2 linked regions of the Drosophila melanogaster genome follow. The protein of the gene in region 1 binds, or shares a complex with, the protein of each later gene. Each region holds a gene or a part of one and is shown in the gene's direction. Other genes may lie near its edges.

Region 1 (8,247 bases):
CATTTTGCCTTGATTAGTCAGCTTGCTTCTCACTGTTATCACAAGAACTCTATTACTCTTGAGACAGCTTTAAGACTGAAGTCCTATCTTTGTATCTCCACAGAGTTATTAGTTGTTGTTGTGCAGAGAAAGGGTGAATTAAGTTCTTGGCATTTGAATTGTTTCAGGATCCTTTTTTAGATACCCTGAATTGGTTAATTACTGTTCTTGGGAGATGACGGGTTCTCAAACGACTCCTCCAGAATTTCACGTGCAACTGAAGGGAGTTTATAATTTGCAGCGAGTTTTATGCGAAGGGGAGCCTCGAATTTTAGAGGGAAAGAGTGCGAGTTATACGTACACCGGCGGTTATATTATATGGTATATAGGTGCAAATGTGTTGGTGGGGAGGTACGTATTATTGCAGTTTGCATTTGTTGGGGCCGGCTGCCTATATATTTCACTTTTCGCTTTGTTTCACTGGCAGATGTTTGTTTTGATTTGACTTTGTTTATGCACAGTTAGTCACGTTTGTGTATTACTCAGCTTCGGTTAACTAATTTAAGTGAAATGTGAAGCAGCTGAACCGAACCGCACTCGTCGCCGTTCGTTTTCCGAATGCGGCAGCTGAGCAGGTCGCTCTCGCTCTTTACCGTTGGTTACGAAGGAGAGAGAGGCAGAGCGTTTTAAGAGCAGGTGAAAACAATCTAGCTATTTTATGGCCAAAAACTAGATTATGAGTGCTCGAATTCTGGTGTGTTAGTCGAACATGTGTTAACGTTTATAAATTAAATGGACATCTACGAGCAATACTTGAGGCATTTAAACCCCAGTTCAAAATTGGCTAAGGTGAACTGTACGTCTATCCCGGATTCGGAATACAATCGTTTAATACGATAACATCAAGATCGTAGAAAAGGTTTAGTTTGGACTACAAATTGTAGTTCGTTTGCTGTAACCAAATTTTTCTAGCTATTTTCTGTCCGCCTCCCAAATCCGTTCATCACTATCTCAGAGCGTCCATGAAACTACGAGTAAATCAGAAAGTTGGGGGCCTGGGAAGCAGCTAAATAATCGAAGGAGAAGCAGCCGCTTAAGGCGATAAGCAGCACCTTGGTAGGTGAGAGCAAATAATGAAAAATACGTACATATTGGTAAAAGGTAAAAGGCAGCTGCAGATAGCGAAAAACCGAACTGAACGTGCAATTTATGGGATCGGATACCCCGCAAGGTTCCAGAAAGCGGGAGGAAGCTACTCGTTCCGCTTGCCCTTCAAGAGAGTTTAAACACTCTCTGCCAAGCCAAACCAATTGCAAACGTAAAAGCGGGGAAAAGCGGAGGCAAACAGTAAGGCAGAAAGACAAGCGCAACAATCGTCACGTAGCCCAGCACACACACCAATGCGCAATTGGCACACGCACATGCGAGCGACCCATACAAACGCAAAGAAGCCACACGCACAGGCGTTAATGCGAGAGCCAAGTGAGTCAGAAAGAGATGGTCGCCAGCGAAGGGAGTGTGAGAAGGTCAGCGATAATGTAGATATTTAAAATGTTTGATACAAATATCTGCTAAAAATGCTTAAGAAACACTAACGAAGATGAGGCACAGAACGGCGGAAGCACGCGGAAGCTAGGCGAATGTGCGAACCAAAGAATTGGGTCAACGGCCCAGTTCAAAGTCGCCGCCAAACAACGTGCACGCAGAGAAATCGGGGAGACCTTTTAAAGCGCCATTAAAATAAAGAAATATCCCAGAAATCTGCCCAACATTCTGTAACCAAGATATATAATATATATAATAATATAATATATATATATAATAAATAAATCAGTCATAAAATTGGTAACGAAAAATATCAAAAGTATCTTATGGAATAGGAATAAAGATTATTCTATCTTCTGTCCTGTCTATACATTATTTATTATTTGGTAATACCCTTGGGCTAACAATAATAATAAGTCCCACACAACCCAGTTTCGAAGCAAAATGGCCACTAAACTGAACTGATTTCTTTTAGTGCAAACACGTTTTCGTGTACATTGTAATGATCGATTGGCGCCCTTTTTGTCTGTGATGTATTACGTGCGACAACGGCGACTGCGGCACGTGTACCACACCAACTCGCAGCCCTTTTGGTGGGCGGAGAAGCACCTGGGAGAGGGGCGTGGCGACGCACACGCACTGAGTGGCAGTCGACCTTGGTGACGTGCGTCTGCCTACGTAGCTCGCTCGGGCTCGCACTGGGTTCGAGATCCATCACTGGGAATCCATCACACAGCTGAAGGAGACCACAGACATGGGTTTACACCCAATTGGAAGTGGATAACATAAATAGAAAAGGGGAACCTTTAAGGAAATCCCTAGGAAATTTACGAATATTTTTAAACTAAATACCATTGCAATAGTTTTATATTTCTAATGTTTCCAATGGTTGCATAGTTCACATCGCAAGATATTCGATCTAAATAAACTTTATTTGATTTAAACTGGAAAGCACTTTCTCTGCTTTCAAAACTACATTTAGACATTCAAGTTCGGAAATGAAAAAAAATGAGGTGAGCAACGCTAAGGTGAATGCATTCTGGCTGAATCTTAGGCAAATCAAAAAGTAGCAGAGCAAACTATCCGCGAATGGATTGATTCCATATTGACTTTTCCTATCAATATTGCTGATTCAAATTGGAATTCGGTGGCGACAAGATGCGGTTTTTTCGACTTTTTCTGTTCATCGAGTTTTGCGCAACCGTATTGTTTGTTTTTCCCAGCAAGTTGCTTGACACATGTATTTTAGCACATTTCTAAACAATGACGGAATTTTGCAAGCCCCTGGAAATGAGATCACGTCGGTCCGACTGCGCTAATTGTTTGATAAAGAACAACACATCCCGCCGCAGATTGAAATCTCGGAGCTAAGGCATTCGCTAAACTCTGATAACACGATTTGAACGATACGCTTGCGTATTCCCGGCACGTAGGCAAAACGCTCCGGACCTCCCGGCCGAACGGACCACCCACCCACTTCGGGCGATAAGAAGGTAGAAAATACTGCACCTGACAAAATCGATTTGCAACAGTAACATAGAAAAATGAAGGCTTTTATTTGTGTATCCAAGTAAAAAGAAAATATCATAACTATCGGGTGGGAAGTTATCTGAATTAGTTCATATGTTGCACTTATTAGCTACAACTGCACATCCAGGAACACAAAATAATTTACTGCACAGTGTGGGGTTGATGATGACTCAGCCGGATTGGCTGAAAGATAAAATTACGAACAAATTTCTATATGTGCTCCGATGTGTGCGGTTCATGTTTGTTGTATTCGTTAATGCCGGGGTGCAAAGCAAAATAAATAAGCGAGTATTAAAGATTTGGACGCAACAAACTGCGCAACAGAATAATTACAAAGTCAGCACCTCCGCCCGGAAGAATGCGAGTCCGGCTGCGATTGCAGGTGCTATCAGATCGGGCATGGGTGCCATATACACTATGCGGCCGGGCACGTAATGCCGAAGGTAAATAAATACTCGACTCGAGAGGTGCCATCTCGGAGCAGAATGTTAGCAATCCGGAGACAGTCAAATCGCAGGGCAATTACGAATCTCATCTGACAATGCGATGAGTTGAATGGGAAAACAAACTGTTTCTATTTTTAAACTTTTACGTCTGAGAATATCGGACAGCCTATGTAGTACGTGCAGACATCAATCTAAAACCAACACCAAGTGTTTGTCTCCTAAAGAGTCCTTTCCTGGTTCCCCATTGGATTGGAAGCTTTACCTTGAACACCTGTAATATTATATCATATGATTTGTGTATACTTTAACAGCAGCAGTTCCAAAATGAGCCATGGTTTGGCTAATACAATTATACTAATTCACCCAAGCGATCTAAGATGATCTAGCAGTGCTATTCAATGTTTTGATTTGTGTTATAGGACCTTTTGCGAGGTAACTAGTATAAGCTGTATATCAACAACCAATAAATCAGCTGCGAAGAAGCTTGAGGATCGCGAAAACCATAAACTTCAGCGCCATATGAGCGATATGTCATCAGCTGTGTCATGTTCTGCTGTTGATTCGTGAGGCTTCTCAGGAGTGGGCACGTAACCGCTTATCGTAATTGACTTGATGTGCAAGTGAAGACGATAGGGGGCTACGAGCAGGAGGATGCACCTAGTGGGGTATATTTGGGGCTATAGATTTCGCTCCGGGACAAACTGCAAACGCAACTTCAAGTGTGCGGTCGGCTAGCTAATCGCGGTGCTTGGTTCAGTTACATTTAATAACTAGTTATCAGGTGAAATCATGGCTAATCAAATTCAAGATAAGCTTGCACCAAAACGTAGAAAATCTATTCTACCGAGTCATTTGGATGTTTTCAATAAGATATTGAAAATAACTCATCAATATCTGAGTGGCATTTTTCTTGTACAAGTTTTTGCTCGATCTATGTACGTTGTCAAGAAACTGTTTACACACTGTGAAATAAGTTGAATTTTTGACTTTAAAGCTAAAAATTAAGGGTTTTTTGCTTAATTAAACGAAATTTTTTTAAATAATATAATTAAACAATATTTATTTTATTTATAAATCAAAAAACAAATTCAAAATATTAAATATACAAGAAAATAAACAACGAATTCCAAGTTTACACACTTTTAAGACTGTCAAGAAACTCTTTACACATTTTGTTTTCCTACTTTGTTTTGTTCTTTTTCTTAGAACGAACTCGATTTTTCCGTTATTTTTGGCTTTGCATTGCTTTTTACAACGCTTCTATTGAAATTTGTTGACTTTGCTTGTGAAATTTTGCTGATCAAACGTGCTTAAAGCGAATTATTAAATTTAATAAAATGCCTGGAAAGAGATTAACTTTTGAAGTTACCCAATTAATAAACTATAACCACCAGTTGGAAAAATCTTTTCCAGAATTAGTATAAATGTTTCCTGTATCCCGTAAGACCGTCTACAATGTTTTAAAAGGCTCGGAAAAAGAGGGCAGGCTTGAACCTAAGAGTGGTGGTGGGCGGAAAATTAAAATTAAAAAGCGTGTAGACTGCTTTATTATGCGAATAGTGATTGCGAACCCCCGAATCTCGGTCAGATCACTTGCTCTAGATATCAGGCAAGAATGTCACCTAGCTGTGTCACACGAAACTGTGCGCCAAGTCATCCTACGCCATAGGTACTCTTCAAGAGTTGCAAGGAAAAACCCTTTGCTATCAGATGCCAATATTGAAAAGCGTCATTTATTCGCAGTGAGCATGATGGATCATGCGGAAGAGTACTGGGATGACGTCATATTTGGTGACGAAACAAAAATGATGCTCTTTTATAACGACGGGCCAAGCAGAGTATGGCGCAAACCGTTGAGTGCGCTAGAAAAACAAAATATCATTCCAACGATAAAATTTGGAAAAATGTCACTGTTGGTTTGGGGCTGTATCACCAGCCGTAGAGTGGGAAAACTAGCCTTAATTGAGGGCACAATAATTGCCGTGCAATATCTAGGAATTTTAAAAAACAAATTTGAAGGCCAGTGCAGAAAAATTTGATCTAGTTAGCAACAACAAGCCAAATTTTATATTTTAAGAGGACATGATCAGAAACATAAAGAGTGCAATGTACGCACCTGGCGCCCTTATAACTGTGGTAAAGTGATCGATACGCCCCCTCAGAGTCCTGATCTGAACCCCATTGAAAATTTGTGGACCTACTTAAAGAAGAAGGTGGCAAAAAGGAACCTAAAACACAACAACAGCTTATGACTGTAATAGTCGAAGAGTGTGAAAAGATCCCGTTTGAATATGACCTGCAAAAACTTGTCCAATCCATGAAAAAAGGGCTTCAACTTGTAGCTAAAGCCAATGGGGAACATACTACATACCAAAACTTTTAAAATTTTAATAAAATAATTTAAAAATTTAGGATTAAACATCGATTTAGTGTTTTGTGTAAAGAGTTTCTTGACAGTCTCAAAAGTGTTTAAACTTGGAATTTGTTGTTTTTTTTCTTGTATATTTAATATTTTTAATTTGTTTTTTGATTTATAAGTAAAATAAATATTGTTTAATTATATTTTATAAAAAAAATGCGTTTAATTAAGCAAAAAACCTTTAATTTTTAGCTTTAAAGTCAAAAATTCAACTTATTTCACAGTGTGTAAACAGTTTCTTGACAAACTGTATATTTCGTTTGTAGGACCATTGGTAAATATTTGTATCTAGTTAGAACGGACGTAAAAGTCGTAAGGCAACATTCTCAAAGTTATGTATAATCTATAAACACACGTTTTTAATCAAAGGCCATATTGGTCAAAAGCTGATAGCACATATTCGCAAAACAAGGAAAGTTCACTACAAATCAAGTTTTGAATTAATTACGGATTCTTTTGGTCAGTACATCACCCGAACATGGAGTACAATCGCCAGCCGTGTCCCATCAGGATTGTAGAGGATTGCGGGTGCGCCTTTATGATGGGCACCATGGGAGGATCGTTGTTTCAGTACCTCAAGGGATTCCGAAACGCTCCGTCCGGTCTTCGACGTGGCTTGCACGGCGGTATAGAATCGGTGAGGTTGCGGACACCGGCCATAGCCGGCAGCTTTGCCATTTGGGGCGCCACCTTCAGCACGGTGGACTGCGTCATGGTCTCGTACCGCCAGAGGGAGGATTCCTGGAACGCGATTGTCAGCGGAGCGGCCACTGGCGGAATTTTAGCCGCCCGGAATGGAATTCGAGCCATGGCCAACAGTGCCTTTGTGGGCTGCCTCGTTTTAGCCATGCTCGAAGGAGCTGGAGCAGCAGTGGCTACGATTTATGCATCGGATGGAGGAGTCAAAGCAGAGGAGTCCCTAATCACTGTTGACCAGCAAATGCAGAGACCCCAGTGGGAGACATCCGTTGCTGATTCGAACCTAACTGGGGCGGAGTTAGAGCGGGTGTTGGATGAATGTCGGGCATACAGGGCACACAACAAGATGCAGCAGCCTATGCGTTCGGACGCAGTGGAGGGTAAGGAACTGGGGCAACTGATGAAGCCAATGCACTCGTTGGTCGATCTGGTAAAGCTGGCCGAAATTGTCTGATAGAAAAGCTTTTAAGGTTTTAAGTCAACCTCCCATGCTTCTTCCAAATTAAGTGTTAATTCGATATTCAGCGTTAATCTTATATTATTTTTAAAAGCCCAGTAGGTACAAGGAATGATTTTCTATCTCATGGAGAATATTTTTCCATCTTCAATAAAAGATCAGCTGATATTTGATTGCATCTAATAAAATACTATGGCACTATGCAGGCTCAAAAGAGCTTCTAAGAAAAATATATCTCTTCTAGCGTGCCACCATGAGCAGTATTATAGTATTATACATTTTTAACTTATGTTTTAGCATAAAACTGTTGAAACTGAAACATCTGACCTGTCCACTGACGACCTACCTTCCTGATCCCATGAAGCTGGCATCCGCCAGACCGATTTGATAGCTGGAGCTCTTTTCGCCATTATGGTGATGATGCTGGTGCTGCTGCTGCCTTTGACCTGTTTCCGTTTCCGCAGCTGCAGCCTTCTCCTGGCTGCCCGGCTGCCCGAGGAGATTCAGCAGGTTGTCTACCTCGGCGGGCCAACTCTGCGCCTGGTGGGCAGGCGTCATCATCTGGGCGGTGGAGCAGTTGGCGCCGGCGCCGCTGCATTCCAGATTGGCAGATGCCACAGCTTGTTGCAGTTGCTGGATCTGCTGCCGCTGCTGCTGCTTATTGTTGTTGCTGCTGTTGAGCTTTTGGCGGGTCAGGAGGCGGCACTCGGTGCGGTGGTCGGGCCAATGGAGATGCTGGTGGGCGGGGGAGCAGTAGTAGACGGCCTTGCACTTGGCGCAGCGCAGTAGTTGCTGCTGAGTGCCGCAGATGGAGCAGCGCGGCGGGTCCATGGCCGATTTGGATGCGGAGTGGGAGCCGGAATGGCTTGCTGAATCCCTGACCTTTCCGCGACCCCTGCTCATTGCATTTTGCGGGAGAGGAGAGCCAAAGGCGACGACCGATTTTAACCTTGACAGCTCTCCCAGCTTTTTTTACCCCACCTCACCTACGCCAACTGAGGCAATCACACACACACACGCTCGCAGATTATGGCTATTTGTTATCAATGCGAATTACGGCACTCGGGCGTTTTAGCCAACATTTCACTTAAGACTGTTTGTGCTTATTTTAATCACGTAGGCCACCGAATTTGCCAAATAAACAAAAAAAAACGCACATACAACGCACACAC
Region 2 (6,216 bases), on another chromosome or scaffold:
ATGGAAAGGAAAGCCACGTGTGCCTCCAAGCCTCATGTCCCACTGATATTACTCATTACTCACTCATCCCACCCACCCACGTTATACCCACTAACATTTATGTTTTTACGCGACTTTTTGTGATCTATACTCATTTTATGTATGCCAAGTATTAGCAAGCACTCACATTGTCTGAACATATATATTTATTTATACATTAACTTTATGTATCGCGCGGCAGCGTAACGCGTAGCTCCCAATCCACACTTTTAATTCCCAGCCCCATTTTGTTTGTTACCCGCTCGCACACTCGTTCCGCACTACTCTAATTGGTTTCTAGCGCGTAAGTTCAATGCAGCATAGTAGCTTAGCTTAAGGTCCCCACACCCGCACCCGCACCCTCACCCTTAGCCACTATCAACTACAAAACCCAATCGAAACTTCCATATGTATAGAGATTCTCCCGCCTCCACCTGATAAACTAAAGCTCATTACATTAAATCAAATCGAAAGGATCGTCAGAAGACTCGAAATGTTTGTTGACCATATATAATATATATGTATGTATGAAACACGCATTATTTTGGGTGGGAAAACCAATCAAATTTATCCTAACAATAGGAACACACTTAAAACTTGTTATTGTGCGAAGGAAAGTACCGAAAATAAAAGCGAATTGAACTAAAACTAAATGTCCCGATTTGTACATTAAGCCGATAGTATAAGCGATCTAGCTTCAGGTCTCCACATTCTCGTCCTGCTCCTCCAGTTGGACACCCACTTCATGCTCGGCCCGCCTCCGCTGTCTGCCCGCCTTGTGCGACTGGCGATGGATGGCGAGTGAGATGCGGCGCTTGAAGGACTTGCCGCACTGCTCACAGCCGAACGGTCGCTCGCTGCTGTGGACGAGCATGTGGCGGTTGAGCTCGGATGTGCTGCCGAAGCTGCGCTTCTGGCACACCGGGCACGGGTGGGGCTTCTCCTGGCTGTGGCAGCGCTTGTGGGCAATCAGATTGCTCGAGTAGCGGAAGCGACGGCCGCAAATGTCGCAGCCGTGCGGCTTCTCGCCCGTGTGGGTGAGCATGTGCTTCTTGTAGCCCGACTTCTGTGTTAGCCTCTTGCCGCAGATGCTGCACTCGAATGGCTTGATTCCGCTGTGGATTAGAAGGTGTGTGCGCAGCGAGGACGCCTGCCGGTAGACCTTGAAGCAGGTGGGGCACCTGTTCGGATTGTTACGATCGTGCAGCGTGACATGGCCGTCGCGGGCGTTTCGCGTCTTAAAGGACTCTCCGCAGATTGTGCAAACGTAGGGCGTGGCCGTGCCATGTAGCTGCATATGGTACTTGAAGGAGTTGTTGGTGCTTAGTTGCTTGCCACAGATCTAAAGGAATGGAGGGAGAATTGATGACCTTCGGCTTTGAGTTATTTGCGAGCTGCGATGACCAACTTACTTTACACTGTAGGGAGGGATTGAGGGGTTTCCAAGGCCGGCTTCCACTGGGCAAAGTTTTCTGCGTCGCCGAAGTCTGTGCTGATTTCTCCACAATCTCGTAGACATCTTCGCCAGCTTTGGCCTGCAAAACGGGCTCCACTTGGAGGCACTCTTCAATGCAGTGGTCGTTGTCTTCTTGGCGAATTTTTGGCTGGCCATGTAGCCTCATGTGGTACTGAAAGGTCCGCTTCCTAGCCAGTTGTTTGCCGCAAATCTGCCGAAGATGGGAAACTATTTCGTGATTACTTACTTCTAATTCGGAAAGGCAACTCACGGGACATTGCAGCGCTGGCTCGGATCTTTCTAACCTGCTCCTACGTTGCTCCGGATCCGGATCGTCGACAATCTCGCAGAGATCGTCTTCGTGCTGTTCCAGTGCAATATCCAGCCTCTCCTCCTGTACAATTGGCGCTTCCAGCCGGCTCTCCGCCTCATCTGATTCTACGACCAGGAGTTGCTCCTCATCTCGTATCGTTTCTGCTGGATATTCAGTCACTTCCTGGTCATCGAGCACGAGTACAAAATCCTCCGGAATCTCGGTTGACAGCCTGGCCCTAGTATTCACCGCGCTGATCTTTTTGCTGCGGCAAAAGTCCGCATGACTCTGCCGCAGAATTCTGTCCATGCGATGGACACTCCGCTTGAATTCCAGCGAGAGCCGCAACTTGGCCACGCAGTCCGGGCAGATGTGGTGGGGCAGGAAGAGCTCCGCCTCTAGGATCTCCAGACCGCTGCAGTAGCTTAAAATGCTGGCCAGCGTCGCTGGTTTGCCGGAAATTGGATCGTCGAGCGGTTTGAAGAGCGGCAGGCAGCGCGGCGATGCTGTGTGGCACACGCGGCACAAGGCGTCCATGGGGGACGGCGGCGACATGGTCGTCATGGATTGAACTCGACAGTAGATAATACACGTTTAAATAAATAACTTAATTTAGCGTCCCGAACAGTGATGCCAAAGTCCAGCTGATGCGTTAGTGGTGGCACTCAAAATAGCTAGCCAGGCACATCAGCTTGGAAGTGACCAGAGGCACAGTGGCTTGGTGGTTGGTCAAAGGTTGTGTATTTCCATATTATTTAAAATATTTTAATTTAAAATTTTCTTAATACTGTGATTAGTCAGATTGCCGGAGGCAACATATGTACACACGCAGTTATCTGCAAAATCCCGCCAGATTTGGCTTGAAAATCGCCGATCTATACCTGCTGAGAGCCACGTGCTAAATGTACTAACGCCTGGTGCCGCCTGGCAGTGGACAGTATATAAAATCCCTAACGCCAACGCCGTGCCGGTGGGAAGTTGAAATTTTTGTTGGAATTTTTTATAAGTAAAAAGTCGCTGCCATCCGAGCAGGACTCGTGAACGGCTCTAGGACTCGATATCGGGAAGGAAGGGGGAAGCATGAGCATGAGCATGGCACCGGCCACCGTCCTCCAGTTGCTGCGCGGCCTTAGCACGCCGCGTCTTCTTACCCACATCCACCAGCACCGCGCATTGGGTAATCACTACCACCACTACCACCAACACTACCAGCACCAGCACCACCTCCTCCACCACCAGCAGCAGTACCTCCGACTATTCACTTGCACAGCACTGCCAGCGGCTGCTCCGGCGCTCTTCTCGATCCTGCACACAGCGCGTGGCTACAGCAGCACAACCAGTAAGTGATTCACGGTAGAGTCCTAAACAGTAGAGTCCTAAACATTCATCCTTGGCCACTTTCGTTTCGCAGAGCAGGAAGCTGGAGCCACTGGCCCCAATGATGCGCCCGAGGTCGCACCGAATGCCCCGCTGCTGGCCAAGCTCTTTCCTCAGACCTCGCCGGAGGTGGACAGCAACGCCGAGCAGGAGCGCAAGAAGCGCGAGGAGGAGGAGGAAAAGGAGAACGAGCGTGCCTGGAAGCGCATGAAGCTGGGGTAAGCTGACGCCCATTCAATGCGTAACAGTATTATAACAATACTTCCTGCTGCAGCTTTGCAATATTCGGAGGCAGCGCCGTGGCTGCTGGATTCTGGGCCGTCTACGAGTTCGGCAAGCCCGAGGTGGACCCCAACGGGCAGCCCATCGAGGACGAGTTCACACACAAGCCGCTGGTACAGCAGTATCTGCAGCGGATGTGGAAGAGCATTCACTACTATCAGCGCATGATCCAGGAGCCGTCGCGCGCCAAACTGCTGCCCGATCCGCTCAAGCCGCCGTACGTGCAGCCGCGCTACACGCTTGTGCTGGAGATGAAGGACGTGCTGGTGCATCCGGACTGGACTTACCAAACTGGCTGGCGCTTCAAGAAGCGTCCCGGCGTCGACCACTTTCTGGCCGAGTGCGCCAAGGACTTTGAAATTGTCGTCTTCACCGCCGAACAGGGCATGACCGTGTTCCCCATCCTGGATGCCCTCGATCCCAACGGCTACATTATGTACCGCCTGGTCAGGGATGCCACGCACTTTGTGGACGGCCATCATGTGAAGAACCTGGACAACCTTAATCGCGACCTCAAGAAGGCAAGTCATGCACAACGTATTTTCTATTGCAATCATCTATAAAGAAGGGAGTATTTTAGGTGATTGTTGTGGACTGGGATGCGAATGCCACCAAGATGCATCCGGACAACACATTCGGCTTGGCCCGCTGGCATGGCAACGACGATGATGGCCAACTGCTGGACCTTATCGCTTTCCTAAAGAGTAAGTTGCGCCACAAGTGACATTGAAAGCTAAACACTGACCCTTGCAATTCGCTACAGTAATTGCGCAGAACAACGTGGACGACGTGCGCGAGGTGCTCCACTACTATCGCCAGTTCGACGATCCCATCAACCAGTTCCGGGAGAACCAGCGCAAGCTGGCCGAACAAATGCTGGAGGCGGAACGCATCGAGCAGTCCAAGACCAAGCCAATGGTCAAACAGTGGTCGCGCAACATTCTCGGCCGCTAGGAGGCTGGCCATACCGCACAACCCGTTCCATACGCATACCTTAACCTTCCGCCTGCGCCGGAGCAACAAACACGCCCTGCAGCAGCACACTGGCCATATTTTTCGTCGACTTTTGGAGTAGTTAGTGGGAAGCAGTAGCAGACAGCAGACAGCAGGATTGGGAGGCACGCTCTGTCTTTTGCTCCTTTGGGAAAAGACGAGGCGCATGTTTTTGTTTTATTGAATAACTAAACTTGCTTGTTTTTGTTTTTTGGCAATTTAATCGTAATATTATTATTATAAAGAGACGACTTAACCGTAAAACCAAAAACAAGACATCCATGTGTTTCGTTACGAAAGTGGAGAACTTGCTGTGCGTTATCTAATCACAATTGATGGATAAGAGTGGCTAAACCTGCTGAGATAGTTATCGTGAAAACAAAATTATTTTTATGTATGTAAAAAATAAGTGTCGAATTTTCTTTCAGTTTTTTCTGGAACAAAAATCAGTTTTATTGAACTAAGTGTCTAATCCTTAGCCTAGGCTTACATTCTAGAGCCGCTCCCACGGCTTGGTGGCCGCTCACAGCACCATCACCACTTTGGAGGTGGACACCGGCTGCTCATGAACTTCGGTTATGTGAAGGTTGGTTGCCGATCCACCGGTCGCACCTCCACCGGTCGGACTTCCACCTGTCGCACCTCCGCCTGTCGCACCTTCTGCGCCCGCTTGTCGGCTGGGAGGATTGATGGACTGAACAGCAACGGTGGCCGTCACCGGCGACTCCTTGTTGTGGACGCGCATATGACTGGCCAGTCGCTTCTTTGTGGGAAAGGCCTTAACGCAGACCTCGCACTTAAACGGCTTTTCGCCGGAATGGAGGCGAACATGGGCATTGAGGTTGCTGGTAAAGGTGAAGGCATGCCCGCAAACATCACACTTGTGCGCCTTGACGCCACTGTGGACCATCATGTGCTTCTTGTAGCCCGACTTCTGAGACAGTCCCACGCCGCAGATCTCGCAGGTGAAAGCCTTCTTGCCGGTGTGGCTTATCTTGTGCTGGCGCAGCGAGGACGAATCGTAGTAGGCCTTGTCGCACAGATCGCAGGCGTATGGTCGCTCGCCCGTGTGCGTGAGCTTGTGGCGCCGCAGATGATCGAACGCCGCATATCCGCGGCCGCACTGATCGCAGTTGTAGGGTTTCTTCTCCGCATGAGTTCTCTTGTGCACTGCCAGACTGGAGGTGGTACGATAGAAGCGGCCGCATATGCTGCACTGGTGCGGCTTGACATTTGTGTGTGTCAGCATGTGTTCCTTGTAGTTGCGTAGGTGCTTCAGACGCTTGCCACACTCCTCGCACTCGTATTGCTTCTCGTCCACGTGGGAGCGCATGTGCTGGTTGAGACGGCACTGCTGGCGGAACGCCTTCTGGCACACGGTGCACACGTACGGCAGCGCCTCGCCAGCGGTCGGCGGCGCTGAGTCCAGCGACTCCTCCAGGAAGTCCTCATCTTCGCAGACATCCTCCGCCTCCGGCAGCTGTGTGTAGGTGAATGGAGGATAAATGGTATTCTAGTGCAATATAATTTGACCTTTCTCACCAGATGCTCCTCGCGCCCATCCCCCTCCAATTCGAGGGTCTCCTCGCCGATGACCTCGTCAATGGCTCCCTCGGCGGGTATCACAATCATCTGACAGTCCAGTATGGCGTCGTGGGCGCCGGAGTCGTTCATCACCTCGAACTCATCCTCCTCCGTGACGATCGTTTCGAACTCATTCTTAATGGTCACATACTCCACTTCGGCGGGCTGAAACTCATGCACGCTCTCCATAGTG

What was found. Proteins that work in one complex are often made in the same cells at the same time.
Region 2: Tim17a2 (region 1) and ttm50 share a complex: the UniProt entries of both Drosophila melanogaster proteins name them as parts of the TIM23 complex.

What each region holds. Positions count from the first base shown.
Region 1 is NT_033777.3:5,257,296-5,265,542, reverse strand, and holds Tim17a2 (Tim17a2), read left to right. Parts: upstream 1-2,850; 5' UTR 2,851-3,017; intron 3,018-6,383; 5' UTR 6,384-6,397; coding exon 6,398-7,072; 3' UTR 7,073-7,207; downstream 7,208-8,247. Other genes in the region: Hph (HIF prolyl hydroxylase), read right to left, coding at 7,422-7,978. UniProt on the Drosophila melanogaster protein: Essential component of the TIM23 complex, a complex that mediates the translocation of transit peptide-containing proteins across the mitochondrial inner membrane.
Region 2 is NC_004354.4:2,728,700-2,734,915, reverse strand, and holds ttm50 (tiny tim 50), read left to right. Parts: upstream 1-2,725; 5' UTR 2,726-2,867; coding exon 2,868-3,126; intron 3,127-3,198; coding exon 3,199-3,382; intron 3,383-3,438; coding exon 3,439-3,967; intron 3,968-4,026; coding exon 4,027-4,150; intron 4,151-4,209; coding exon 4,210-4,400; 3' UTR 4,401-4,839; downstream 4,840-6,216. Other genes in the region: CG2712 (uncharacterized protein), read right to left, coding at 716-1,360, 1,431-1,685, 1,746-2,351; dwg (deformed wings), read right to left, coding at 4,963-5,919, 5,982-6,216. UniProt on the Drosophila melanogaster protein: Essential component of the TIM23 complex, a complex that mediates the translocation of transit peptide-containing proteins across the mitochondrial inner membrane.